Linked DNA regions of Nothobranchius furzeri. The protein of the gene in region 1 interacts with the protein of each later gene in a pairwise test. Links are inferred from orthologs where the notes say so. Each region holds a gene or a part of one and is shown on either strand. Other genes may lie near its edges.

Region 1 (4,082 bases):
AAGTGCCAGTTCTCCCTCAGAATCGCATATTTCAAAGGAGGACTGGATCAACACAAATCTAAATTCTGCTCCCAAACCACCTGCATACACTTGACTTCCTCCATCATTATCTCTGTTTCAAATGGTGCCAACGCATAAAACCAGTCCGAGCTGTTCAGCCGTCATCCCAGTGCAGTTTAGAACTGGCCGTGCTCCAACCATCGCGCTGGGCTAAGGGCTAACCTTTGGAAAACACTGAGACCTCCGAGGAATGTGAGCATGGTCAATGAAACGGAGAGGGAGGAAGACGGGAAAAAAGAAAACAAATACGTTGTACAGCCTGTGGGCTCTGTCAAGGCAAACTTCCCAGCTGCTAAATGGGATAGAATGACTAGAGTTTTGGCTGCTAGAGAATTATTTCTGCTTGTTACCAGGACAAAGAGTTTGTGTAAAAATAACCTGTCAGTGGGGAGAGCACAGCAGGATTCCTCCAAGCCCTCCAGGCTATAAATTCTGCAGCTACAGACAGAAAAGAGCAGAGCTGGAGTGGCTTTGGCTGTTGTGTTAGTGAGGACGGGCTGAGCTCAGGTTCAAATACACGTTATGCAAAGAGCAGGTTCACTGAAAAACCTTTTTTTACTTCTTATTTTTAAAAATGATCGGTCACTCTGAGTTTAACACACAGACTGAATGTTGAAAACAGTCTCCTACACTTATGTCCTGCATTTGCTTCTGATAGAAACTACTCGAAAAAAAATGCTTGGTTCAGAAAAGCCTGACAGATCCACGTCAAACTGTCATTTAACATTCATGGACTCGCCTATCTTGGCTCGCAATGGGGAAGGCTGTTGTTAGTTTAGCATCTAGCAAACAGCAGAGTAGAAGCTAACGTTAGCATTAGCAACTCCACCACACAGCAGAACTCCTTCAGGCTTGTATTATTTGTGGGGATAAAAAAATCAGCTTTGGCAGAGCCGCGTTGCTGTCATCCAAATCCCAATAGAGATGTCCAAATCTTAGGAAATAAGACTCCCAATCCTATCGTCTGAAGCGTCTTTCTCCTCCGGCTGACTTCTACGTCCTCAAACAGGCACGCCAGAGCTTTTCCCTCCAGAGAATGACTTACAAGGTGTTCCTTCCTACTAGAGACCCCTGCACATGTATTAAAGTATCAGTAAAGAATTCAACCAACCACAGCTCATGTACGATGCAGCAGGGTTTATGATTACTCTTGAAATGTAAATAAATGAACGTTTTAACAATATATCATGTTTTAACCGTACTGATTTATCAATATGAGACCGCAATAACACAAAAGATTCCAACTAATTGGAAACAAACTGCAATCATATGCTCCCCTGAATGCCCACAGCCATGGACGGTGTTCCAACATGTGGCTTTATGCTGTGGATATCACTGACTGTTACAATAAAAAAAATTGCGGTTGCATGTTTTCCTGAAATCATATAGCTCTGCTTCATTCGATGCATGATCTCTGAAGTCGGTTTAGCATTTTCCTCCTAATCGCACAGTTTTGCTCTCATTTTCTGTGCTTTCAGCCGCCGTGAATGAAATTTTCACACTAAATCTCTCAATAATTTGGTGTGCAATCTTCTGAGGAAGAGCCAAATCCAATCAGACACAAACTGGTGCACAAGTGGAGAATGCTAACCTGGAAAAGGTGAAACAAATCAATAAGGAAAGGGATTGTAGTTGGAGGGCTTTAGCATAGTTTCAGTGTGTCGCTTCTGGTTTGATGCAACAAGAAGTTCATGATGCAAACATTCAACGTGATCCTTTGCTTTGATATCCAGAAATCAGTCAAATAAGTGAAACGTTCCCTTAATAATCGCCCGTTTCACATTTCACGCCTCTAATGTCTCTGACTGTCCTTCCAACTAAAGCCAAGACAACACAACGAAGGACTGTGTGAGGACTTGCAGTTTCTCCATCCCACATCTTTATCCATCCTTCTTATTAACAAGTCTGAACACTTTGCCCTTCCTCCAGCTCCCACATGAAGCAACACGTGTGCCTAGCAGACGTTACGATGATGACAGCTCACTATGTAATGCGACGTATTGATGTTCAGCCAAAACGACTCCAGACGCTGCAGCACAGACACACCCAAGCAGACGCACACTGCTCTATCCCACTTCCTCCTGCCACTGAGATGACACGTTTAGGCTTTCTGAAGGCTCACACACCAATGTTGTGCTCTTAATCCTGCTTAAATACAGGTAAGTGGCTCACATAAGCCAGCAGAGCCCGTTTTCCCACCAAGATGATGTTATTTATATGGTTTTTGGCTCACTGGTTAATTTATTTCTGTATAAGAGACAAGCGTTAAGCAGAGCGACAAAAATAGGTGTGATAATGCAGACATCTGTTGTAATTTTCTGGGACATTTTACTGAAAGGCTAAACCTTTATCCACCACCTGTTTATTCACTTTTACTGATGAAATCATAAAGAAACAGAAAAGTATGTTAAATTTTGGACTCTACTCACCCTTTGCCCTGATACACCACATGCCATCCTTTTATAAAACAATATCCAGTGGCTTATAATCCCAACATTTCTTTAATGCTCAGACTTCATTGATTCTTTCTGAACCTTTATTTTCTGTTAAAGCTTCACTTGGTATTTTAAATGGGCCTGAAACTTTGTACACGCCAATGAATTTGTTCAAATATCAGTTTTAAAGTAGTTTATCTGGGAAAAAAAGTAGAAAAATCCATGAGGGATGTAAATTTATTCTTACCAGGAGAGAGGAAGCACCTTCCCAGCACTCTTTTCTGTCTGCTGAGTCCAGCTCTGATCAGATCTAGGATCAGTCAGGTCCTCCAACAGCGTCTCTGTAAAACTTTCTAAGTTCTGACTGAAGTCAGACCTCTGATGGATGCAGTTTGCCGGCTACTTTTGTCCTACTACTGAGGAAGTTGCTGGTGAGTCACAAGATCCCGCCTCCCCTCTAAAAAACAGACCTCCTCCCCCCTCCCTCCCTCCCTTTCTCTCTTTTAGAGACTTCAAATGAGAGCAGGGAGAAACCCAGACAGGAGGCTGGATTCAAAGCATTTGTCTCAACAAGAGTCAGTTTTTAAATAGTTGAAGAGTTTTAAAGACGTTTTTGTTTACATTAAATTAATAAGTAATGTTGTTAGTGAAAATGGTCGACAACCTCAACCCAGCTGGCCAGGATCAGTAATATTTAATTGAGGCTAACGAACACAGTACATGTTTAATTATGACACTCTGCTCATTATGGATCAACTTTTAAAAAATGGTCCTGAAATTTTAGAAGAAATCAAAATGATCTATAGGTAGCCAAAGCCATGGGTCTCCTGAAAAAAAAAAAAAGAAATGAATGAAGTCAAAAAGTTATTTTCTGGGTCCATTTATCCTCTCGCCCTAAATCACACGCATCGTACATACTTAAAGAGCAAGTCACCCCCAAATCACCCTAAATAAATGAGTGTCTAATCGTGCTGCAGACACGTGTAGTCAATAGATTAACACTTTAGTGCATTTTAGTTAAAATTTTAATTTTCTGCCTAAAACTGTCAGTGTTGTGCTGTTGTCAGGTAAACTCTCTGCACTGCATTTGAATTTAAATCTGCCATCGCTATTGGCTAAGGGGTATCCTAGAACATTAGCTGGTACCATTTGATGTCACAATGTAGTTGTGAGCCTGTGTGTGTGTGTGTGTGTGTGTGTGTGTGTGTGTGTGTGTGTGTGTGTGTGTGTGTGTAGGTGTGTGTGTGTGTGTGTGTGTGTGCGTGCGTGTGTGCGTGTGTTTTAGTGGCTCCGCCCTCTTGGTGTGCTAGGCCACAAAATTTGTTGCATTTTTCAAACAGGAAGTGGGAGTGAAGTAAGAATCTGGTAATGATGTGTGTTTTGACTATGTCATGTAATTTGAGATTTATTAGTTTGTAAATATCCATAATTAAAAAAAACTACAAATCAGAAGTCACATTTATGATGTCACCACAGAATCTCCTCTCCCCTAGCGTAGCTGCTGCTTACATCATCGCAAGATTTATGGTGGTTTTCTACACGTTTAATGTTCCTTCTTTCATCCTGGAAGAAGGATTGGAAGCTCGT
Region 2 (4,023 bases), on another chromosome or scaffold:
AGGTGGTGTCCTCTGACAAACTCCAGATTTCGGCTTGAAGGAGAGAATTTTGTTCATCTTCTGAAGGACGTGCTAATCCAGGAAATTCTGTCAACCAATTCAGTTCGATTCATAATTTTTATTGCATAATCCAATTTTTTTCATTTTTATTTATGCAAATTTATTCTAACTATAGTTCTCGCCTTCCCTTCTAAAGGTTAAATTTACTTCTCAGACTATCCACAACTATTAATTCTAACAGCTCAATTTAAATTATACAAAAAGGAAATGTTTGCTATGGAAAGGTAGCTCCTTCATGATCAATCTGGTTTTAAGGCTCATTTTAAGTCATTTGTCATTTAGTTGCTATAGTAAGCAGTGATTTTGTAACTATTGCAGATAAACTATAGCTGTGTTTTGTTGCATTTTATTATATCTACCCATTAAATCCATAGTGACATTTCAAAAACAACCTTGTTTTTTTCTGAACTCGTGATATGAGTTAAAATGTTTTGAGTTAAAATCTTTAAAACATGCGTTTTGCTGTTTTAAAGAGAAATTCAAGTTGTCTTTGATTAATTAGGATATACAATTATTTGAAACAGTGAAACTCCAAAGACTTATGTCAAATGATTGAGGAAAGTTTGTAATAGCCTCCAATTACAGATCAGTTAATATTCATAAATTGGCTCAATGACATAGCTAAAAGTAGTCCTTAAAACAAAATATATGAACACAAATACAACACCTGATACATAAGCTTTGCAAAACCTAATTTAAACTCGGGATTTTACTGCAAGACAGATGGATTATGATACATTTGGTTCCATATTCAATTGGAAACCTCAGGAAAAGTTCCTCTCAGGTTTAGACTGACGTTTCTTCCCAGATGTTTGCAGCAGCGTTAACAGCTGCCTCCTGCCTTCGAACAAAAGGATGCTGGCCGCCATGGCCGAATTCAAACTGTCCACGTCAGGAACAACAGGAATAAAAAGCCTGTGACCGCTGGTTTCCTCAGCTAACTGGACCGCTTCCACGCTCAAACCGTGCGTCTCTCCACCAATCACAAGCGCAGAGGGACTCCGAGTCCAGGTCTCGTGGTACAGCTTGGTTTCCACTCTGGAGAGCTGAGGGCCCTCGTCTTCAGAATCTGAGTCAGACTCTGAGTCAGACTCTGAGTCAGAGTCATATTCCTGGTACAACATGTTTTTACCATCAGGCCTTGAGCTGACCCATCCAAAGTCTCCTGGTTTGGACGGTTTGTGAGACCCATTTCCCCCTGTTTCAGCACTTATGTCGGGGCCGCTGTCAGCCACGTGGACAGTCACCGATTTAGGCAGATGATTTTTAACATCATCCCAGTCCAGATTGGGATAAATGGGTAGTCGGAAATGTGCACCCATGGCTGCACGTAGAACTTTAGGCTCCCAAGCATCAACACAACCTGTTATGAAGATTGTAAGCAGAGACATTAAAAGCTGTGTATGGATGCTCAGATGTTAAACTGGAAGTATCAGCATTACCTTTTGTGAGCAGGACTCTGTGGCAGCCAGCAGCAGCAGCACATCGCAGCATGGTCCCAAGATTACCCGGATCCCGGATATTATCACATATCAGGGAAAGCGGCACGGACTGTCCTCTTTGTGAAAAGTTCAACCGTTCCGGGTTTGGCCGAGAAAATATGGCTGCAGAAAGTTTAAAGAGTGATTTGGATGTCAAACAGCTCAGGATACCTACACCTCAAAATAAAACTCTTACCGATCACTCCCTGTGGTGCAACAAGATCAGACCAAATCTTTATGTCCTCAGACTTGACTTTGACAAGCGTGGCTCTTCTCAGCTTGTCTAGAGGCAGCTCCTGGAGTCGCTCCACGGTGCTGAAGAACACCATCTGTGGACTGGCGTTGGCCTCCAGAGCGTCACAGATCAAACGCCTGCCCTCAAGGAGGATTTTGCCCTGGTGCTCACGGAATGTCCTGGAGCGAGCAACGCTTACTAGCTTCCTGGTGGAGAGGTGGAGAGGGAGAGACAGCTCATCATGTGATATCACCTACACTTTCTGGACCGAAATATTAGTAATTTACCCCCATGTGTAGGCCTGAGCGTTTATGGTTATTTTTTATTACAAGAAAAAAATCAAATCACAATTATAATAATTGTTTTAAGATAATAGACTACACAATGGGATGCAATCAAGCTCGTGGCAATTAAAAATAATATGAGATTTAATACAATTGCTCACGATAATCTTTTGTCTCCGGGAAAAGCCCTCTCAAAGCGAACTCCGTCCACTTGATCCCTTGTAACAGCAACCTGGGGACGCTTTCCACTCGACTGCTCAGTGATTTTCATTTTAACTGCATCTTTTCTCTCAATATTCTGTGTTTTAGAAGTGATTCTTGTCGCTTTTTCTTCTGGCTGCTGATGAGAATTCACCACTCTACTAGAGTCGTTCTCAGGAAACAAAACTCGGACAGGTTTCCTCCTCAGTCCACGAACAAGTCGTTTGGATTCGACGATAATAGTGTTAGTTTTGGTTAGAAATGCATTTCGTTCGGTGGAAAGCTGACATAACACGCTTCTCACGAACGCTGCCATCTTGTACCTTCTTCTTTTGTCCGTAAACGTTGCTGTAAGACGAGGTAAAACGTTACTGCCACCTGCTGGAAGGTAAAGTGAACTGTACGTGTTAAATTTTCCACCATAATTTCTAAGGTTTTAGTTTGCTTCAGATAGATTAGGGTCACCAGCCTTTGTGAAGCTGAGAGCTACTTCAGAGGTACTGAGCCATACGAAGGACTACCAGGCTGATCTTTGAACTGGAATAGATCAGTTAAACTAAACTTCATGTACAATAAACATAATGTATTGTGTAGATTTAAAATATATATTAATGCATTTGTGATCAAAAAGATGGCAGCAGAAATGTTTTTTATTATTATTGCAGACTTGTGCTTATTTAGTTCCTGGGGCACCAGGTTGACCCCTGAGATAGAACCTAGTCATAAATTATGTGTAGCCATCTTGCTGAGTGACAGGCAGAAAGAAAAGAAAGAAAACGATATATCGCCTCTCAAGATAAAAATCACAAGGTGCTTCACAAAAAATTAATATAGTATAAATTTTTTTAAAAAGATTAAAAATATGTTTAAACTGAGAGAAAAATAAAATAAAAAGAGTGATAAAAATAATAATGTAAGTAAAGGGAGAGAGAAAATTTATAGGAAAGAGGTACTGTGGGGGAAAGGTGGAATAAATAGAAAGAGCAGAATAAGGAGAGCTCTCTTTATTCTGCTCTTTCTAGGCTCTTTAGGCTTCTTTCTAGGGTGGTGACGTAGGTCACGCAGAAGCCAGCTTGAACAGGTGAGTTTTCAGCTGCTTTTTAAAGGAAACCACTGAGTCCACTGATCTCAGGCTCAGGGGGAGAGAGTTTCAGAGTCTGGGGGCCACAGCAGCAAATGATCTGTCACCTTTGGTCTTTAGCCTGGTGCTGCACAACCAGAGTGTTACTAGGAGCAAAGTTTACAAATAGAAGCAACGTCATGTGCCTTTGACCTCCCCAAAATGCAAAAAAATAAGCTTATTTAACATAATTAAAATTATATTAAGATTATATTGTGAAGTTAAGGGACAAAAATAAGCCCTATAGTCTCTGGAACTCACTTCCTCCCAAACACTGAATCTTTTACTCTGACCCAGCTCAAAACACATCTGTTCAAGCAGATTCACTTTAGATAGAGATTTTACCTGATTTTAGCTTTTATATTGCTCTTAACTGTTTTATTAATGTTTAGGTTCTTATTTCTTTTTTATCTCCGCATGACCCTGCATGGGTCGTAGAAAGGCACCCTCAAATAGAATGTGTTATATACTTGATATTTTGGCATAGAAGAAATAAGAATCTTCAGATGTGTTCCTTGTGAATTAACCTATGGAATGAACTGTGTGTGTGTGTGTGTGTGTGTGTGTGTGTGTGTGTGTGTGTGTGTGTGTGTGTGTGTGTGTGTGTTTTACACGCTTTATTTTCCTGATGAACAAAATTTT
Region 3 (4,083 bases), on another chromosome or scaffold:
GTTGCTGAAAGCAGCCTGATCACACAGATGTAACGTCTGCTACAGCGCCCCCTGGTGTTTGGATCCCAGCACTTATGTTTGTTTACATCTCAAACCAGCCTGCTCACCAGTCAGAACTAAAATATGAGAAAATGATGAAGCTGATTAGAAGTAAACTGTTTTCTTATATGTAAAACTGTAACGTGAATAATAGGAATATGTAAAAATTAGGGTTTTCATTTGATTAAAAGGTATAAAAAAAGTCCGATCTAACATCCCCAAACATGCAAACCCTTTGCTCAAATTCTTTCTGACTTGACTTTTTGCACTGCATGTTGCAACACGATGAACTCAAATAAAAACATTAGCGTAATAATAAGACATATCCCTGTGCTGTTGCTCCCACCTCTCCTCTTCGTAGATGGGCACCCGGGTGTACCCGCTCTGCATGATCTCCGACATGGTGGAAAAGTCGAGAACAGCTGAGCTCTGCAGCATGAAGCAGTCCTTCAGAGGAGTCAGGATGTCCTCCACTGTCTTTGTACGCAGCATCCCACGGCTGAACTCCTCCTTCACAAACTCACTGCACACACAAGCACACAAAGACAACAGACAACGTTAGAGTGTTTAGTTTACGACTTTATTTTTTCTGATGTTAATCTATTTCTGTTTTGAGATCATTATGATTTGATGACTTTGTTTTGTTTTGATCTATGTGACGCACTTTGTGATTCTATGTCTGTGATAAGTGCTATACAAATAAAATTTACTTACTAGTTGTCTGGACTCTGGACTGAGTCCACGGAAAGGTCAGGACTTAAGTCTTTGCACAAAGATTTCAAACTCCAAGCTTCAAGGTTGGTTTTTTTTTGTTTATTCTCTTCATTTTTATTTCCAAGACCACTATATCAAAGTCTTTGAGACTGCATGGTGTTGCAGTTGGTAACACTGTTGTGTCAGAGCAAGAAGGTTGCAGGTTTAATCCCAGCAGCAGCCTTTCTGCATGAAGTTATGCTTTGCTACATGCATCCATGAATTTTCTCCAGTTTTCCTAGTTTCCTTCCCACAGACCAAAAACATGCATGTCTGTTTAAAACCGTAAGTCTCTTTAGACGCAGAATGGTGCACAATTTCAGGTTTCTGTTTGGTTAACCTTGAATCAGCTTAATTCCACTTCACAATTGTGTGCTACGTTGTCTTCTATCACAGAAAATCTCAGTAAAGTGTGGTTGTAAATTGTTTGTTTTAATGTAGGTTTTGTGTTAGATTTAAGTAAACAAGTAAAAATGACTTGTATAAAGGGGTAGGGATATATAAGTTTCCACTTCAGCCTACTCCTTTTCAAACACAGATGGGATGATATGTATTTTTTCTGTTTGTGGTACTTTTTAAAAAATTATGTACATTTTCTTTGTTTGAAATAAACTAAACTAAACTAAAATGTGTCAAAGTTCAAGGGGTCTGGATACTTCTGCAGTATCACAATAATAACATTTTTGCATGTTTTTATTTAAAAAATTATACTTATAGTTTTTAAGCCATCAGACAAAGTCACAGATCAAACTGAAGGTGTCTGAAAGGAACTTAGACCAAGTCCTGTTTTAGCCTCTCAGATCAGTTCTTCTCCGGATGATTCAAACCCTTATTTTAGATCCTTATGTTTACCAACAAAGTTATTTTACCTGTATGGGTCGTTGACACTGGCTCGGATCATCTCCATGGCTCTCTGCCTTATCCCACAGGTGCTGATGTCCCTTCCCAGGCCCAGGTCCAGGATCAGCCCCAAAGGGCAGGACAGAGGGCAGGTGAGAATCATGCACACCTGGGCCAGCCAGGTGAGCGCGGGCGCCATCTGAAAGCCGTAGTCGGAGCACAGGATGTGAGGAGCCAGCTCAGCCAGGAAGAAGATGAGGAATCCGCTGGTAAAGACCGCGGAGACGATGCACCCCAGCGCCTTGTACAGCAGCACCCCCAGGACCGAGTGTCCCAACGCGCACAGGAACAGCAGCGAACAGGTCTGGACGGAAACAGGAATGGTGGGAACACGGACACAAAGCTGCCTTCCCGACCTGCTGGGCTCAGAAACTCACCAGGAAGTTCCCTCTTCTCCTGACGGGCTCCAGGCGCTTGGCGGCTCGTTTCTCCTCCTCGGACCCGCAGCTGTGGAGCACGTAAAGCTCCACCGGGTCCAGCCACAGCAGGCTCAGGTTCACCGTCCGGAACACTCCGCACATCAGCAGCAGCAGCACCACCAGGAGGGCCAGACCCCACGGCGGGATGTAGTCTGCTCCGGGACTCTCCTCGGGACTGATCCGGAGTCTGTCCGGGCCAACAGAAGCCCACCTGCCCCCGCTCAGCGCACACAGGTGGTGGAGGCTGCGCCCGCTGCCCTTCACCTCCACAGTCAGCAGTCCGCTGAACTCCTCGTCCGGGATGAAGTCCTTCGTCACCTGGAAGGCGGACTCCAGACGGCTGGACTCGTCTTCGCACGGGTCGGGGGCATCACCGACCGCCCCCGTGGCTCCGTCAGCCGCCTCAGCGAACGCGACTTTCGGCCAGCTTCCATTCAGGTTAGCCCCAAAGAGACGGAGCTTGAACGTGGCTCCTTCTGGCGCTGAGATAATCCGGTCCTTCATGCACACCAGCTCTTCCGGGTCCTCCAGTCGCAGCCCCACAACCTGCGGAACTTCTTGGCCGCAGGCGCTGTCTCTAATCCCGCAGAGCAACACTATTATCATCCACAGAACCCGTAGACCTGCCAAGCTGGCCACCATATTGGAGATAGTCAGCCTTGCTCTGCGCGGGTCACGTGACTCTTGCTTGGCGGCCCCGCCCACCTGGAGAACTCATGAAGCTGCGCACCGGGGGCGGACATTTTGGCTCAAGCCACCCAAGCTGAAGACGGGAGGAGTCGGGAGATGAGCGGTCATTTTGGAGCTGGATTCTGAATGTTTTTGTTTTCAACACGCCGCCCGTTGGCTGTGAGAGTTCGCAGCGATGAGTTCACGCCCATCTTTGTTAACATTCATCGAAACAAGCCCCTCATGACTGTGGCTGACGAAGGCGCTTTGTTTGCCTTTTAACGTTTATTCAGAGCTCATAAATAGGTTTACCTTTTCCATGTCCGTCTGAAATCGATTGCTAATGAGTTACAAATTCAATTAGATGTATGCCATGTTTTTATCATCCTAGTGCTTTACAGAATAAAGTTATCTATTAGTGCTGACAACAGACAGCAACATGGCTTGAATAACACACGCTTTCAATTCTCCTGTTTTATTCTTTGTTTCCTCAGGCCACCATAAACCAGTCTTGGGATATTTACAATTCGCCATTGGTTTAAAAAATGTAAATAATGGCTACCAGGCATTCCTGGCAGCATTAGAACTGGTTAAGAAGGACAACATCTTAAAAATTATGAAACAGTCTGGCAGATTTTGACAATATCTGTGAGTGAGTTGAAGGGCGGGCAGTATGGGATCCAGCACAAGTCATTTATGAATGGAAGATATACTCGACCAAATAATTTCTTCATTATTGGGCCCACATATACCGTGGGTACAGAAAGTATTCAGACCCCCGTCAATTTTCCACTCTTTGTTATTTTGCAGGCATTTGCTAAAATCAATTAAATTCATTTAATTCCTCATTAATGTACACACACCCCATATTGACTTGGCCATTCAAGAACAGCCACACAAAGTTGTCGTGATGCCATTCCTTTGTTATTTTAGCTGTGTGCTCAGGGCCATTGTCAGGTTGGAAGGTAAACCTAACCCCAATTTGAGGTCCCTGAGCACTCTGGAGAAGATTCTCGTCCAGGATATTCCTGTACTTGGCCTCATTCATTGTTCCCTTGATTGCAACCAGTCATCCTGTCCCTGCAACTGAACCTGAATCCAGGTTCAGTTGCAGGGAACCTGTAAGGACTCCAAAGCGCTTTACACTGTAGTGTAAAGCGCTTTGGAGTCCTTACTCTGAGGGGCGCTATACAAGTGCGGGTCATTTATCATTTTAACCCCTCCCCCCATGATGCTGCCACCGCCATGCTTCGCTGTGGAGACTATTGGACAAGTGATGAGCAGTGCTTGGGCTTCCCCACAC
Region 4 (3,041 bases), on another chromosome or scaffold:
CGCTGCTGGACTGGCTAACGAACGCTGCTGGGCTGGCTAACGAACGCTGCTGGGCTGGCTAACGAACGCTGCTGGGCCGGCTAACGAACGCTGCTGCGCCGGCTGACGCTGCTGGGCCGACATTTGTAATTCAACACCGGCCAGTGTTTTGTAGAGAACCAAAGCCAGCAAACAGGAGCGACCCAGAAGCTTTTTCTCGTACCCCGAGAAGCCACAGCATCCTTTTGCTTCTCTAATATCAGGTGAAGCAGGAGCGACTCAAACAGATTTTTTATTTGCTCATTTTACCTTCAAGTTTATTAGTTTATCATTTAATACAAAAAAATCAAATGTTCTTTTTTTTTCTAGACCTGAACATATTTAAAATAATGTTTCCATCTATCATTTGTTAATAAAGCTCTGAAGTTCTGAAGATAAATGAACCGAAACACAAAATGTTTTACAGTGTAGAAAAAAATCATCAACAATAAAATAAAATTAAACTTTCTTTGTGATTTTTTAGAACAATAAAAACAAAAAATACTTTCTCCAACTTGAAAATTATTTTATTATTACTGTTTTTAAATTAACAAACACTGCTATACATATTGCTGTTTTTATTCGTTTTGAATCATTTTAAACAGGTAAAGCATTTGGGAAAAAGAAGAAACAGTAGCTGAACGGGCGACAGACGGCTGATGACACGTACGGTAGATGATCTACCGTCGACGGCTTTTCTACGAGCGTCCAGGGGCGTTAAAACGCTCCGACAAACAGATGGTTTTGGTTTTCCTCTCATCTCTCAACGCTGGAATAACGGCTCCCCTCGACGTGTCACAATATTAAACACGGAGTCACGTCAAATCAAAAACAGCCCACCTGTTCCTTTTAAACAAGTATCAGCAGCTTGCACAATGTGGTTTCTGCATCCGACGCAACGTGAAACGTTTAAAAAAGGTTCAATCAAAGATGGCGGCTTCCGTTAAAAACCCCTGAAGTTGGACTCTTTCTCTCGAGTAAACAAAGAATCTCCGGTATGGCTGCTCCGTCTGTTTCAGTGCGCTTCGTTTTAACCTCCTTAAAAAATACAAACAACAGCCGATAAGTTCCCTAAAGTGTTCACTCTTTCACGTCAGGCCAGCTGCAGAAAAAGTCTTCTTCGTCCCTTCGTCTAAAAAGCGCTGGCTAGGATCCGGTCGGTACCTCGTGCACCCAGAGATCAGCACATCTGAGCAGAAGTTAAACATCATTTCTTTACTAAAAGTGACAGATTTACAAACACCGTAGAAACAGGGTTGACATCATTTGGCAGCTGGCGGCAGTCTGGACCAACGTGGCTGTTTTCAAGTTTGGCCAAAATCCCTCCGTTTTAGACAAAGACTGACGAAACACCGGCGTAGAAAAGCTGTTTGTGGCTCTTAGAAACCTGATCTGCCTGTGAGAGGCAGGGGGAAATACAAAAAAATAACAGAGTTTGCTCAGGGAACAAAGCAGGAGGAGGGATGTGTCCAAACTTTATGAAATGTCTGAGCAAAAAGACGACGCAGCGAGGCAATGCAATCAAAAAAGTACCACCTGAAACAGCCAGCAGTCCTGCAAACACTCGTCACGACGAGTTTCCACTGAACACAGGAGAGGGAATCCCTGACATCCATGTAAATCACGTACACTTTGTCCAAACAAAAAACAAAAACGTCGAATCACTTGGGAAAAGAACACAAGACTACCGTAAATTCAAGCCACTACGGCAAAAACAGAAAGTACTGAGGAGCTGGTCGCCGACCGGCTCGACGGCGAGCGACGCGGAGGCGGCGCCCGGCAGACGAGCACGCTGCTTTTCTACAGGCAGGTTTAAAAAGGAGAGGACAACCAGCACGGGCCATAAATACAACGAGATGATGGAGGTCGCAGCAGGAGCGCGCTCCCGCCTCATCCAAAGTCTCTCCTCGGAAATCCCGGAACGGCGCCGGCCTCGCTCCGTCGTTTACCGTCCGATTGGTCTCGGCAGAGTGCAAGTGTCGTTGAGCCACATGGCTTTGCTTCCATGCTTTCAAAAATATATATTATTATATATTCTTTATATATTAGGAGGTTCTCTGGCTTCGGTCGCACCGGCGCCGTCTTTCTGCAGACGCGGCGGTGGACAGGTCGACACTCTGGAGTAGAAGTGGTTGATGTCTTTTCGAGGAGCGGGAGCGCGGCATAGCCCTTGTGGGTCCCCGTCCCCTCGGCTCACACTGTCTGGACTTTAACATGTGCTCTAAGACACTGGGGTGGGTGGGGGGGTGGGGGGCAGGGTTCGGCCACAGTGTTGGCGTTTGCCCCAAAAAGCTCAAAGCGCCAGCAGCGTGGGCGAGTTGAGGGAGTCGGACGACTGGTCGCCGCTGCTGCTGCTGCGCCGGTGAGCCTTGGAGCAGGACTCGGAGGAGGGCGACGGGCTCTCGGGCTCCATCATGTTGGGGTAGGTGAAAATGAGGTTGGGGGCGTTCGGCGTGGCAGCTGGAGTGGACGCCACCACCACCGGCGTGTTCAGGCTATCTCCGTCCGGGCAGTACATCCCGCCGCTGATGCCGCCGCCCCCCAGGCAGATGGGCTTGATGACGGAGCGCTGAGGTTTGCCCACCTTGTCCTCCTCCATGTCCTCGGGCTCCTGCTTCACCACCACCTGGCTCAGATGAGCCCGTGAGCTCATGTTGGGGCGCATGGTGAGCGGCAGGGGGGCGCACTGCTGCGGCTGGTGGCGCTCATCCATGGGCAGCTTGCACACGGGATTGTGGGCCACCAGCATGAACTCCAGCTTGTCTTTCTCCTTCTGGAGGCTCTCGATCTCCTTCTGCAGGTCCGCCTTCTCCTCCTCCAGCTTCTCCGTCTCCTGTTGGGTAAAAACAACACGTGAGCTCGAGGGGCGCTCGGGAAGAGAGCAGTCTGTAAAAAACTAGAAATCAGCCAAATCTGGAATAAAAAGCACAAAAAAAGAAAATAAAGATGAATTAAAAACAAACAGAACGTAAACAATGCAGAAATTTTAAAGAGATTTTTAAATCTAAAGACTAGAATGGTGC
Region 5 (4,390 bases), on another chromosome or scaffold:
GCTTGTAGTCCTCATTTCACTTCTCTTAATTTGTGTTATGTGTGCTAAATACTGGTTTATTTGAGTTTTATTCCATTTACTCCATGTGTATCCATCCATGACGTCAGTTCAGTTGAGGTGTGGTATAATGCCAGGCTAATTGGCAGCATGGTTTAGTAGTGTGGTACTTGCAACAGCAGTACCTTGGTTTGACCACCAGAGGTCCCTGGAGATCATATAATTTGTCAGTGCCTCTGAGGCTGGAAGTCACAATATTTACTCTGTGTTACCCTTGAATGTGCATCATTTGGGAATATATTTGTTTTTGCTTAGTCTTAAACGTTGGCATATTTACTTCACCATTTGTACAATCCTTTTACATCATTCTTTGTATTTATTTTCCAGACCACACGGAACCACAGAAATGTACAGATGTCCATACTTCAACTGTCATTAAATACGTAAAACTGTCTCTCCGTGCCCTGCTCTCTGACCGGAGCCCTTATCTTGAAGATACTGTCAGATCAGCAAATAACTTCCAGAGTTCCCACTCTATCACATTGTTACTGGTCAGAATAAAGGTAGTGATGTCATTGTTACTGGTCAGAATAAAGGTAGTGATGTCATTGTTACTGGTCAGAATAAAGGTAGTGATGTCATTGTTACTGGTCGGAATAAAGGTAGTGATGTCATTGTTGGCGTCAGGCACTATTCCGGAAGGGCAAACAGGTTTTTGACCGCTGTGGCATGAAGACGTTTGAATGGGAAAGTAATCGGATTACTCCTATCATTGTTACATCCTGGAATGCAATCAACATTAAACAAGAAGCATTATCATAACAACTCCACGCTTAAGGCTGTTCAAGTAATTTAGTCAACATCGGATCAACACAGAGCGTCAACCAGGTCCCGGTCTAGCAGCCTCAGGAGTTCGAGTAATGGACTTGACTTCTACAGTTGCCTTCTTGAAATCACAATCTGGTTTTATTGTGTTCTTAGATATTGGTTGTGGGCTTCCATGAGTTTTCATAGTCAAACTTGGTTTCACTGAATTTTATTTGTTGTTTTTTACTTTGTCAAAAATAGCTCTTCTTCCTGTTATCTGTTGAATCTGCTTAATTTTAACTATACTTTTTAACTTGATGAGAATTTACAGAAATGAAAGAATAACTTTAAAGATTAGGTTAAATTGTGTAAATTATACAAACTGCACAACAGATTTCCATCCTGGAAAAGAAGAGAACGAAGTTGAGCTGACACTGCTGGGAGCTAGGGACTCCGGTCTGACAGGTAAAAATCAGGCAGCACAATGCATCTCTGTCGTTCAACAGCAAAATAAATGGTCAACTGAATACAAACAATAAGGTAGAAGGAACATAAAATATGCACTTATTAACATCGTTTTACATTTCAAATACATTTCAGTATAATATGTAATACTTACGTTTACTTTTGCTTTTTTGTAAGATTGACAATAAAATTGTAAAAGTTGTTTGAAACAAAGTGTTCTTGCAGATATTTGCAGATCCAACCCTAACACGTTCTCCTCCCCGCCTCGAGGGGGCGTAGTGGGACTGTAAACGCTAACTGCTTCACTTCCGGTCACATTTTCCTTCCGCGGTTTTGTTCAACGTAACCCCGACGAGCTAGCTCACCGGACTTCGGTACAAAAAACGATACAGAATGAGCAAAGCACACCCGCCAGAGCTGAAGAAGTAAGTTCACGTGTTTAAAAATAACAATTAGAAATTATTAATTTTGTTTCCACGATTTTAACGGAAAGAACGTGTTAGCCTGTTAGCTTTGCTCCATTCTTTACCATGAGGCTAACATTAGCAACCCTGCCTGAACTGTGAACCACCGTCGCCTGAAATGTTGTTTTATGTTTCAGATTCATGGATAAAAAGCTTTCATGTGAGTATGGCGTTTTACGAATATGTCTTTAAAGCCCCTATTGTGATTATGAAGAGTTTATAGTTTTAAGGTGCTAAAACATTAAAACCACGTGACGGAATAATAATCGATTGCATTTGTGTTGCGCTTTACATCACGACAATCTCAACGCGTTTAGAGGAAAGGAAAATGTTGATTATGAAAGATGAAAAGCTTTACTATAAAAGATCTACTAGAGAGAAACGTTTTCAGTCCTTCTTAAAAGCCGCTTGTAGGTTGGGGTGTGCTTAAACTCTCAGGGTAGGGTTAAAGGTTAGAGGGTGGAGGGCATTGTCCTCCGTGGTGCTCAGCCTGGTCTGGGTCTATGAAGCAAGTCTGACAAAAACCAGCAGATTTAAAATCCATCTAAGTCAAATCAAAAGGCTGAGAAGGGTTGGGAACACCAGAGCAGAAGGTGCAGCACGAGGAGCAACGACTGACAGGAAGATGAATAAAGAGACCAGAGATGGGGCACATCTGAGCTCGCGGGGAAGCTGATTTCATCTGTGTGCAGCATCACCCTGCTTGGTTCTGACCCGGTGCAGCTCAGGTCTGAATCAGTTATGAGTCTTTGTCCTTTAGCTCTAAACTGTAATTCTATCTGTGTGTGTTGTAGTTAGTGTTTTATCATGTCCTGGTGACTGTAAAGCACATAGGATTGCCTCTGTGTTTGAAACGTGCTCGAGACATAAAGCTGCCTTGTCTTCGTTCCTCTGGAGCCGAGCTGAGCAGTAACGTCCATCCTAACCTTCTGATTCCCAAAGACGATAACTTCAGTCTCGTCTTTGTTAAACTGGAGGAAGTTAGACTGCATCCGGTCGTTTGCTTGCCTCAAACACTGACAGAGTGAGTCTAGGGATAGGCAATTGTGAGTATACACATGCGCAATAATAAATATATTTCTTTGATAACTTTTAAGAGATCATTCTGTTGGTGTAAAATCATTTTTTAGGCATGTCAGCTAATGTTTGGTTAGATTTTAAATGTTTGTATTTACTTTTGTTTATTTAGCTGCATAATTGGGGTAAATAGCTTGGTTTGCAGGGGTTCTGTGAAGATTGTGCAGGGTTTTTCCTGCATTCAAATTAGAGCTGAGGAAAATAATCGATGCATCGGGATGCGGACATAAATCGTAGAAGAGTACGCCGTAATCGATTATAGTGGAATGTAGTTTTGTTTTTTTAACGGCGGCACCAGCATCTGTCAGAGTGAGCGTCCTCCACATTTACCACGTGGTTCCGCCTTGATGTGGTACTGCATTGCTGAGCGCTAGAGTTGTAACCTGAGCCGGAACCAAATCAGCCCGACCGGTTCTGTTGGATTTGGGCCGTGAATTATGTTAATTGAGCGGGTTGTCATGTGGCGCGCTCCGCTCGATCAGAGAGAGAGACTGTCTACTCACACGAGAGGATCGCAGGACGCTCCTCTAAACCGATGCTCCAAACACGCGTTATTGTTTTCATAATTTCTCCTGGAAGCGCTCAGTCAGACTTAGGGATGGGTACCTTTGACATTTGAATCGATCCGGTACTAATTCCCGGTACCTAGGAATCGATACCGGTACTTAACGGTATCAATTTTAGATACTTTTGAGTGTTTATTATTTTAATTCTCTTTTATAATTAAATATATATTTTTCTCAATATATAACCATATTTGATAAATATCACGATAAAAAACATACAACTGTTTGTATTTTAACATGGTCCTTGTAGTTTTATAAGCTGATAATTAAACTGAAGCAAACGTCTTTACTGTGAACTAAATTTACTGTGTATCTTCATTCCTTTTGCCGTCTTTTTCATTTGATTTTTCCTACTGGGAAGTTAGAATTTCCGAGGAGAAAGCGAACGCACCATTAGCTGATAACAATAGTAGCAATGGAAGCTAACATACCAAGCTAACGTTATCTTTAACAGTTTATTTAGCTGCTGGAGCAGATTAAAACGATGATGCCTCACACTTAGATCGTTGTCGCTGGTTTCATCTTCACCCAATCACCCGTCGCATTTAGTAAAGTGAAGCCAAACTTTAGAGCGCGTTCATGTTATTCCAGTCGGAAATTCGAAGTTCCGAGGAGAAAGCGAACGCACCATTAGCTGATAACAACGGTGGCAATGGAAGCTAACATACCAAGCTAACGTTATCTTAAACAGTTTATTTAGCTGCTGGAGCAGATTAAAACGATGATGCCTCACACTTAGATCGTTGTCGCTGGTTTCATCTTCACCCAATCACCCGTCGCATTTAGTAAAGTGAAGCCAAACTTTAGAGCGCGTTCATGTTATTCCAGTCGGAAATTCGAAGTTCCGAGGAGAAAGCGAACACACCATTAGCGAAACGGAAGCTAACATATCGAGCTAACGTTATCTTAAACATGTTATTTACCTACCGGAGCAGATTAAGATGAGGATGTCTCACTTAGATCGTTGTTACTGGTTTCATCATCACCCAGTTACCCATCACATTTAGTGAAGTG
Region 6 (4,393 bases), on another chromosome or scaffold:
CCCCAGTTCATTCTCTCTCACACACACAAATATACACACACACACACATACATACATACATACACGCACAAACGCACGCACACAAACACATATATACACACACACATGCACGCGCACACACACACGCACACAAATATACACACACACACACACACACACATACATACACACACGCACGCACACACACATACATACATACACACACACACACATACATACATACACACACACGCACAAACAAACACACACACATGCACGCACACAAATATACACACACACACACACACACACACGCACGCACACACACACACACACATACAAACATACATACACACACGCACGCACACACGCACGCACACACACATACATACATACACACACACACACATACATACATACACACACACGCACGCACGCACACTCACACACACACACACGCACAAACAAACACACACACACACGCATGCACGCACGCACGTACACACACACACACACATATATATATACACACACATGCACACACACACACATATATATATACACACACACGCACATATACACACACACACACACACATATATACAAACACACACACACGCACGCGCACACACACACCCACACACATATATATACACACACACACACACACACACGCACACACACACACACGCGCACACACACAGCTTCACTGCACCGGAGCATGTGATGACATCATGAGACACATGCCATACTGCAGCCAATAATCATAAAAGGATCGCTTAAAATTGTTAAAACCAATCAATAAATATGATTAAAAACAAAGTGAGGGGAAAGAGAACGTTACAACAGAGTCACCGTCCAAAAGCCAATAACAACGTTAGGTCTTCAAGCACGACATGAAGACAGCGACGGATGAGGACTGATGGATTGGGATGTGGAACCTTCCAGAGGATGGGGCAGCAAACACAAAGCCCCCCTGTCCAGGGTCCGGACCTGGTAGGTTTGGTTCTGACGATGCGCTGGTTAGGTTCCTAGGGTCCAACATAACGGACTCCATCTTTGGCTCATTGAGTTTTAGATGGACACAGGAAGTGAACAGCCAATGACCTCAAAACCGACCACCAACAGGAAGTCTGAGTTTACCTGAAGCCATCTTGATCAATAATCAATAATCAGTCACCTGGACGGTCTCGATGAGGCTCGAACAGTAAAATGGAAGAGCTACAACAGCTGTTAATCTGTGGGTGAGAGAGGGACAGAGGAAGTCAAACAACAACCACAACAACAACAACAACAGGAAGTGAACAAACCCTTTGAGCAGTAAATGTCCTGCCAGCTGTTTCCAGCCCCAGTTGTGAGGGAGCTCCCTGTAAACACACACACACACACACACACACACACACACACACACACACACACACACACACACACACACACGCACACACAAAGTGGAAGAAGGAAGAATTGTAGTGGGAGAATTGAGTTCTGTGGACCTGAGGAATGATGACCATGTGGTTACCGTGGTAACGATGTCACCTCGCTGATGATGCCCTCGGCGCCGAGTGTGATGCCGTGAACGATGAAAGTGCCACCCATCCCCTTCCACAGCGCCTTCACACCCTGGTGGGACACAGCATCACCTGATCCACACATGGACTCTGACTAACCTGATTGGTCTTGTTCATGGATCAGCTGATCAGTACCTGAGCTTTGGTGATGGCTGACATGACAGAAACGATGCTGAATGGAGTCAGGTGGTAACAGCGGGCGTGGTAGTTCACCTGAGACAAACAGCCAATCAGAAGGCAGCAGATCCCCACAGGTACAGGAGGTATTGATCAGACATGTACCTGGCACTGTCTACGGAACACGATGCACGGGTGGGCCAGCACATTCTCTGTGAAGAGACTACAAACAGACTTTTATTTTGAAAATCCCTCCTGTCCCAGGGGCTTTCATCCCTCTGCTTTGCCTGACAGGCTGAGACCAGACTCTGAGAAGTTTGGTGTGATATTAAGAAAAGCTGCAGTTTCCTTCACCAGAACCAGATTCTGATGGGCTTGTCTAGGGGCCAGGTTTAAAGTGTTGGTTATGTAAACTCTACCGGGCTTGTGGAGCTGCAGAGTCCAGACCTGAACCGGGTCAGATCGGAGGCAGAACCAGAACCTGGATGAATTATGCTCAAGGGGGTCTGGTGGGAGCTTACCTGACGAGACCGATTCCGAACCCGGCGAACCGGTTCAGCTGATCTGGAACCCAAACAGAAAAAAACAGAGTCGAAACCAGAACCATTGGAACTGGTCAACCCGACCTTTCTCTCTCTCATTCACACTCACTCATACACACGCGCACACACGTATGCAGGTGAGTAAAGTGCCTGTGATGCGTTCACTGACACCTGGACCTGAGACGCTGTTAGATAGACTAGAACCCCGGCATACAGGGAGACCTACCGGCGGATGGCACCGCCGATCCCGGGCCCTCCCAGCCGGCTCCGGGACCTCCATGGCCGGCTGGGAGCTCGTCCTCCAGCGGGGTACGCTCTCCCGGGTGCAAGTTGCGGCTGCCCGGGATGTCCGGTGGCGTAGTGACCCAGTGGTGGAGCTGCGGATCGGACGGGCCTCCGGAGCTCCGGACCGAGTATCCGGTTCCGTACAGCGGATCGTCGCGGGCTCGGTATCCAAACCCGTCGAAAGTATCCGGCCGCCTGGAGGCCATCGGGGAGCTGGTGTGATTGCAGAGATCCGGGGTGAAAGCGAGTGTATCGATGACAGAACGGAGGACTCGAACCGACGGAGGTCGATCGATCAGAAGCAAAACATCCACCTGAACCCGGAAGTACTTTTCTTCTTCGTCTCTCCTTACAGTCGCAGAAGGTATCTATGCTGCCGCCCAAAGCCCGGTTCCAAACAGCTCGGCGGCTTCTGGCAGGACCCTTTCTAACTTCCCCTGTTGTCAGAACGATGGGACCAATAATGTGTATTTATTACTACGCTTATTATGTATTCTATTAAAGCAGTAAACTTTTGGAGGCGCAGGAACAGCATTAGGGTAGCCAGACCGACAGGAATACGTAGACGCCCCATTGGGCAGTGGGAAAGCGTAACATAGTCGCCGCCATATTGGACGGGTCTCCTCAAATTAAATGAGAGCAAAGTAAGAGGTGTGTGTGTGTGTGTGTGTGTGTGTGTGGGGGGGGGCACAAAAATAAACAAAGGATGTACAAGAATCTGCAGAAAGGAGGAGAGACACAAAAATTAAACATAAACAGAATATCACTAAGCAGTCGGTTCTGATGGACGGGTTGTCGTGTTCACTCACACTCAAATTATAAAATTATTATTTATCAAATTATATTGACACTATATGTATATGAACTACACAAACACTCATTTATTTCAATTGTTATTGTGGCAAGGTGGAGAAATGAGGGCCCAGGTGGGATTCGATCCCCAGACTTCTGGGCAACTCACGCGCACTAACTACAGAGCCAAAGGGACATCCCCTTAGCCAAGTAGCCTGGTCACATGATCAATCGAGATACAGTGAAGGACGTTTAAATGCAATTGATTTTGAGTCAACGACTGGGTCCATCGAAATGAAATGGTTGCAATCTTTTTTATAGAAAAGTAACAATATTTGTTTTTTCTTCCCAAAGTTATATTTGCGAACCTTGGATCTGTGGCGTAGCCAGAAACTCATTTGTGGAGCCTCTCATGGAGCTGTGCCACACACACACACACACTCACTGATTCATTCAGAGAGCACACTGCACCAACTCTGGCTCTGCGCTGTCAGACTGAAGGCTGAGATGAGAGATGAGACACCTTGTCTACTTTTAAGACTAGGCTTAAAACATTTTTATTTGATAGGGCCTATGGTTAAAATCTGATGTTAGCCTAGATCTGGACAAATGGGGGAGTAGAGGGAGGTGGAGTGTACAGTCAGTAAAGACGGCTCTCCCTTGCCCTGCCTCCAACATGCCTCCATCTAAAAGGCTAGGTTATCCAGAGTTATCTCTGTAGTTATGCTGCTATAGGCTTAGACTGCTGGAGGACACACTGACCACTTTTCACACTCGACTACTTTCTTTGGGTCGCATTTATCAAGCTTGCTTACGCACAAAACGGGGTCGGAAAACTGCATAAGCAACTTTCCACGCAAACTTTAGGATTTATGAAGGAAAACTTAGCGGAAAAATGTACGAAACTTTAAGTTGACTAAGGACCTGGCTTACGCACATGTTGAACATGGAGAGCACCTGCAGTGCTGCTGCTGAGTAGTATGAAATCCTGCAGCATTATCACTTGTACCGCTTCGTTTTCACACAGAACAAGATCCCCCCCTCCCCCCACACACACACACGCACGCGTGTACACACACATGCAGACACACACACACACAGCCTGAAGCG
Region 7 (4,416 bases), on another chromosome or scaffold:
GGCCCCAACCGAGCCTACCTAATTGGGGAAAAGAACCCCCAGCATCACCTCAACCCCCCCTTCACAATGACAAACACACACACACACACACACACACACACACACACACACACACACACACACACACACACACACACACACACACACACACACACACACACACACACACACACACACACACACACACACACACACACACCATTCAGACGCTCCCTTGTGGCCCACTTAAACGCCGTGCTCCACTGAGCAAGTGTGAGCCCTACAAAGACACGAAGGAACAAAAGCCACCAAGGAGCGCAACACTGCACCCTGAGTTTTCTTCCTGCTAGCATACCAGGCCACACAATCCTGGAGCTCACGAGGCTCACAGCAGCCGCTAACGGAAACCACAGAACACTATAATTTTCCTCCGTAATGACAAAGTTGGACGTGTAATGTATAGAGTAAAGGCATACGCGAGAGTGAACAAGACTGATTGCGGTCGAGAGAAATTCTTTTCTTGTTCTTGGTGGTTTGATCAGGTGGCAGGAAAACAGGTGGAGGGAAATCTAATTGGGAGCTGAGGAGGTGGAGGGTATGCAAAGAACTGTGTTTGTGTAGGGGGAGAAGGAGGAGGGGGGGTGGTTACGATTACAAAGGAAAGAGGGACTGACTTCCATCGTGAGCACCAGTAATGCTGATTTCACAGTCAAAAACTTTGCATTTATAAAAGATCCCATGAGACTGTTGAACATCTCATCTGTTTATACAGGTGAAGCTAATGAAAAGTGTCAGAAATCACTGGTTACCACAGGCCTTCTGCTCATTTCAATAACCAGGAGTAGGAAGTGATAATAAAAAGAAGTAATCACCTTTAAAAAGACCATTATTTCATTAACATTACAGCAGGATGGCTGTGATAAATTACAAACCAAACATGCTGCTAAAGCCAGGAAAATGGCCGACAGAATAATTGAATTAATCAGCCCCTCTTTAAGTGATTGGAAATGCAACAGGATCCAGGTAGCAGGTGGCATGGTACTATTTCTGCCCTTCTGGACCACAGGTAAGTGGAAACCTGATCTGATAGCTGCCAGCTCCTAACATCCACTTTTGTGTGTGTGTGTGTGTGTGTGTGTGTGTGTGTGTGTGTGTGTGTGTGTGTGTGTGTGTGTGTGTGTGTGTGTGTGTGTGTGTGTGTGTGTGTGTGTGTGTGTGTGTGTGTGTGTGTGTGTGATCAAGATGACCTCATTTAGCTTGTACATGTGAACAGATCTAAATGATTTTAGTATATAACACCATAATGTGCTCAGATTATGCAGCTTTATGTTGATCCAGTGGAGATGATGTGCTGTGGCGCTGTTGGGTCCAGCTGGGTTGGATTCACAAATTATTATACAACACCTAAAACACTATAAGAAAAAAGGAATTATGAAGTTTACCTGTACCTTTTTTTTTTTACTGAACAATAACCTTTTGCTCTTGAAGATAAATCAGGACATCCTAAGTCCCCACCTACCCCTTCCCCTCACACACACACACACACACACACACACACACCTGCTTTCTTCCCAAATGGGATTCAGAGGTTGCAGGTGAACATGAGACCCAGTGGACCTAAGAATAAAATGTGATGCAACACAGAGAAACCAATTTTAAATGGAGCACCAACAGAATTAAAGCACCCCTAAATGCCGGGCTGTTATACTGTTGGGAAGAATAGGTATACAACAAATCTGCCTGACAGAAATTATGTTTAAAATTCCATAAAAAATTAAAAATCCACCTGTTAAGAAATCCTTTCTCCTTATACATATGTAAAATGAATAGGCAACCATTTAAACTAATTCTCTCATTAGGTCTGAACTTGTTTTAATAGTTTTAGAAAAAATGTCAATTTAACAAATCTTAAAAAGTAAATAACTCGACGGGGTGCAATGACGTTTACCAGCCCATTTCCAGGATGTGCCACTCAGAACCCTAAATGATTCCACTAAACACAACCTTTATCCAAATTGAAAATGTTAGCTCACTCAGAACTATTTTCTCCGAGCTGCAGAACTTAGTGTGGTGTTATCTGAAAGCTTATCACAGCCATCTGATGCCACAAAGAGGGCAGATGGAGAGCTAGCGAAGCTATCTTGTAGCAAAAGACAAAAGGGAAAGTAATGGCTTAGCTATTGTCAACCAGTGAGTGAGTGCAGGGCTAGCTTACGACACTTTCCATTTGCCAACAGCCGTACAGATTTTCTGTAACCGACCAGATTTCCTACACATCGAAACACAAACTTGCAACATCAGCGTTGACGTTGCCTCCCAAAAAAAACAGGATACCAACAGGCATTGTCAGGAGGCATCGCTGGCGTTAGCAACAACAGACACCTGCTCCAGCTGACCAGTTAGCAACGCTGACTAGCCGGCAGCTCTGCTACCACAGCGTGGAAAGTTAAAACTACAAAACATGTTCAATAATAGAAACACTTTTACAAGTCGTTTTAGCTCCGCAGCGTTCCTTATTTCCGTATAGCTTATCTCTGCTAGCAAAGCAGGAGCTCTTCTCATAACGAGTTCCCACAAGGAACCTTAGCAAAGCAGGCTAACACGTTACAAAGAAACACCCTCGCTAGAGCCTTCAACCCAGCAGCAGACAAAACACAAACCAGAAGCAAACCTCCCGCATAAACCCCTCTCATCTTGTCAGAGGAGAAAGCGCTTGCATTCGGGCTAAAAACAGCGAAGAGTTGAGCCAAACCTGAGCTGCGGACTGGTTGATGAAGATGAGGATGTTGGAGGAGGTGGTAATGATGGAGCCAGAGGTTGTTGTTGGTGGGTTACAGTCGCCAGGACTACGGTGACTATGGCGTTGCCTCACTGGGCAACAGTTGCTATAAAACTCATCTGCAGCGCTCAACCTTCTTACCAGGCAGGTGGGAGGAGATTTAGGCGCACATATTCATCTGAAGAAATATAATCAACCCGATTAAAAAAAAAAACTAAACATGTGTCCATGGCTGTCCGTTAACACCCGAAGTCACGGCTTTTTGGCCTGATCTAGTTTAGACTTTATAGAGACTTTAAAATTGTTTGGCGTAAAAAAAACCTAGAAAATCAAATCTTACAGAAGAGATTGTTGTGATTTGCCAATTATTAACAAAACAGTTTATTTAAATGGGTTTTAAACAAAAATCTTAATTTTATTGGGTGAATAATTTTGTTTTTAGTTTTCTTACTTTTATTATAGGGCATAAAAACTGTCTTATTCTGAGGACTGACAAGGTTACAAGTGTGTTTTGTTATTAGAGAACATGTAACCGTTGTAAGTATGTGATATAAATTGATAGTTTTGTAATTTACAAGGAAAAAATTGCCTCCACCGGGGCGGTGGGGTGGGGGGTTCCAAGGGGGGCCAGTGCCACCATGACAGAAAGTTTGGACCCCTGATGAGAGCAGAGCATAGGCATTAAAGGTCAACTTTACTCATAGCTTTAATACATTTGCAGTGGTCTACAGTAGGAATTAATGCCTTGCAATCAATTTTCTGGGAAAAAAGCTCTGGTGCGCCATTTTGAGGATGTAGAAGTCAGCTAGAGGAGAAAGTGGCAGGATATGGAGTCTTATTTCCTGATATTTGGATATCTTACCTATGACTGGCCAACAGAAACCTTATCTTTACTCAAGACAAAAATAGCATGATACAATCAGTAAACAGCATGAGGTGAACTGTATGAAACACAACTTAGCACAAAAATGCTCAGAGTCTGAACCAGGAAATGGCTGCAGGCATAAAGCTCTGGAACAACCAGTGACTTAGCCAATCAGCACCCAACAGTCGTGATGCTGGCCCAGGTCAGAGCACTTGGAACGTCAAGGAAGCAGTGACTTAATTCATGAACTGCCAGCCATTTTTTGATCAGAAAAGCCCTGCGCTGCCAGCGTTTTTCAGCGTTTTCAATGTTTTTTTAAGAGTTACAGAACATTGCGTGCTAGGATGATATCAACGCCAGAACTAACAAAAGAAAGAGTAGACTCACCTCTTACTCCACAAAGAATCTGCATGTTTCAAGCATTATCCATTCTTTCGTAATCCGTTGTCGAATTTTGATCGGCCTGCGACCTTCCGATTACTGGACAACTGACTCTACCTCTGGAGCTACTGCCGTTCCATTGAAACAGGTGGCAGCAGAGTTCTATTTTGTTTCAAACTTGTTCTATTTGGAGAAAAGGCCTGTGGGCACCTTATATGGTTCCTGGGGCACCAGGTTGGTGACCCCTGGTGTGGAACCTTCCCTGAGAATGGGGAACTCTTCCCCTAAAACAAGATTCTAACCAGTTCTCACCCTTCTTAATGTTTTTTTAACCCTCAGGAGGCATGGTGTTGCAAGTTTGCAACGTTAAAACCTACCTACCTGGTTACCCCACATACGTATTTCATCAGCA

The links.
Region 2: the proteins of fhl3a (region 1) and mrm3a interact in binary tests that used the Homo sapiens proteins (3 or more experiments, as listed by UniProt). The two-hybrid records come from large-scale screens. The link is inferred for Nothobranchius furzeri from reciprocal best matches to the Homo sapiens genes FHL3 and MRM3.
Region 3: the proteins of fhl3a (region 1) and metal transporter CNNM3 interact in binary tests that used the Homo sapiens proteins (3 or more experiments, as listed by UniProt). The two-hybrid records come from large-scale screens. The link is inferred for Nothobranchius furzeri from reciprocal best matches to the Homo sapiens genes FHL3 and CNNM3.
Region 4: the proteins of fhl3a (region 1) and fosl2 interact in binary tests that used the Homo sapiens proteins (3 or more experiments, as listed by UniProt). The two-hybrid records come from large-scale screens. The link is inferred for Nothobranchius furzeri from reciprocal best matches to the Homo sapiens genes FHL3 and FOSL2.
Region 5: the proteins of fhl3a (region 1) and snrpg interact in binary tests that used the Homo sapiens proteins (3 or more experiments, as listed by UniProt). The two-hybrid records come from large-scale screens. The link is inferred for Nothobranchius furzeri from reciprocal best matches to the Homo sapiens genes FHL3 and SNRPG.
Region 6: the proteins of fhl3a (region 1) and slc25a46 interact in binary tests that used the Homo sapiens proteins (3 or more experiments, as listed by UniProt). The two-hybrid records come from large-scale screens. The link is inferred for Nothobranchius furzeri from reciprocal best matches to the Homo sapiens genes FHL3 and SLC25A46.
Region 7: the proteins of fhl3a (region 1) and rfx3 interact in binary tests that used the Homo sapiens proteins (3 or more experiments, as listed by UniProt). The two-hybrid records come from large-scale screens. The link is inferred for Nothobranchius furzeri from reciprocal best matches to the Homo sapiens genes FHL3 and RFX3.

What each region holds. Positions count from the first base shown.
Region 1 is NC_091745.1:70,520,500-70,524,581, reverse strand, and holds the start of fhl3a (four and a half LIM domains protein 3), read right to left. Parts: upstream 2,885-4,082; 5' UTR 2,743-2,884; intron 1-2,742. UniProt on the Homo sapiens protein: Recruited by SOX15 to FOXK1 promoters where it acts as a transcriptional coactivator of FOXK1.
Region 2 is NC_091753.1:47,256,233-47,260,255, reverse strand, and holds mrm3a (rRNA methyltransferase 3A, mitochondrial), read right to left. Parts: upstream 2,615-4,023; 5' UTR 2,578-2,614; coding exon 2,222-2,577; intron 1,983-2,221; coding exon 1,738-1,982; intron 1,665-1,737; coding exon 1,503-1,664; intron 1,424-1,502; coding exon 825-1,423; 3' UTR 608-824; downstream 1-607. UniProt on the Homo sapiens protein: S-adenosyl-L-methionine-dependent 2'-O-ribose methyltransferase that catalyzes the formation of 2'-O-methylguanosine at position 1370 (Gm1370) in the 16S mitochondrial large subunit ribosomal RNA (mtLSU rRNA), a conserved modification in the peptidyl transferase domain of the mtLSU rRNA.
Region 3 is NC_091746.1:39,506,218-39,510,300, reverse strand, and holds the start of metal transporter CNNM3, read right to left. Parts: upstream 2,855-4,083; 5' UTR 2,754-2,854; coding exon 2,070-2,753; intron 1,997-2,069; coding exon 1,662-1,996; intron 563-1,661; coding exon 386-562; intron 1-385. UniProt on the Homo sapiens protein: Probable metal transporter.
Region 4 is NC_091758.1:42,824,242-42,827,282, reverse strand, and holds the end of fosl2 (fos-related antigen 2), read right to left. Parts: intron 2,852-3,041; coding exon 2,312-2,851; 3' UTR 528-2,311; downstream 1-527.
Region 5 is NC_091755.1:44,511,855-44,516,244, forward strand, and holds the start of snrpg (small nuclear ribonucleoprotein G), read left to right. Parts: upstream 1-1,541; 5' UTR 1,542-1,662; coding exon 1,663-1,694; intron 1,695-1,870; coding exon 1,871-1,893; intron 1,894-4,390. UniProt on the Homo sapiens protein: Plays a role in pre-mRNA splicing as a core component of the spliceosomal U1, U2, U4 and U5 small nuclear ribonucleoproteins (snRNPs), the building blocks of the spliceosome.
Region 6 is NC_091746.1:69,900,860-69,905,252, reverse strand, and holds the start of slc25a46 (mitochondrial outer membrane protein SLC25A46), read right to left. Parts: upstream 2,850-4,393; 5' UTR 2,698-2,849; coding exon 2,433-2,697; intron 2,229-2,432; coding exon 2,186-2,228; intron 1,888-2,185; coding exon 1,830-1,887; intron 1,761-1,829; coding exon 1,683-1,760; intron 1,600-1,682; coding exon 1,499-1,599; intron 1,347-1,498; coding exon 1,290-1,346; intron 1,218-1,289; coding exon 1,160-1,217; intron 1-1,159. UniProt on the Homo sapiens protein: Transmembrane protein of the mitochondrial outer membrane that controls mitochondrial organization.
Region 7 is NC_091746.1:53,264,036-53,268,451, reverse strand, and holds the start of rfx3 (transcription factor RFX3), read right to left. Parts: upstream 2,901-4,416; 5' UTR 2,732-2,900; intron 2,714-2,731; exon of another isoform or gene 1-2,713. UniProt on the Homo sapiens protein: Transcription factor required for ciliogenesis and islet cell differentiation during endocrine pancreas development. Essential for the differentiation of nodal monocilia and left-right asymmetry specification during embryogenesis.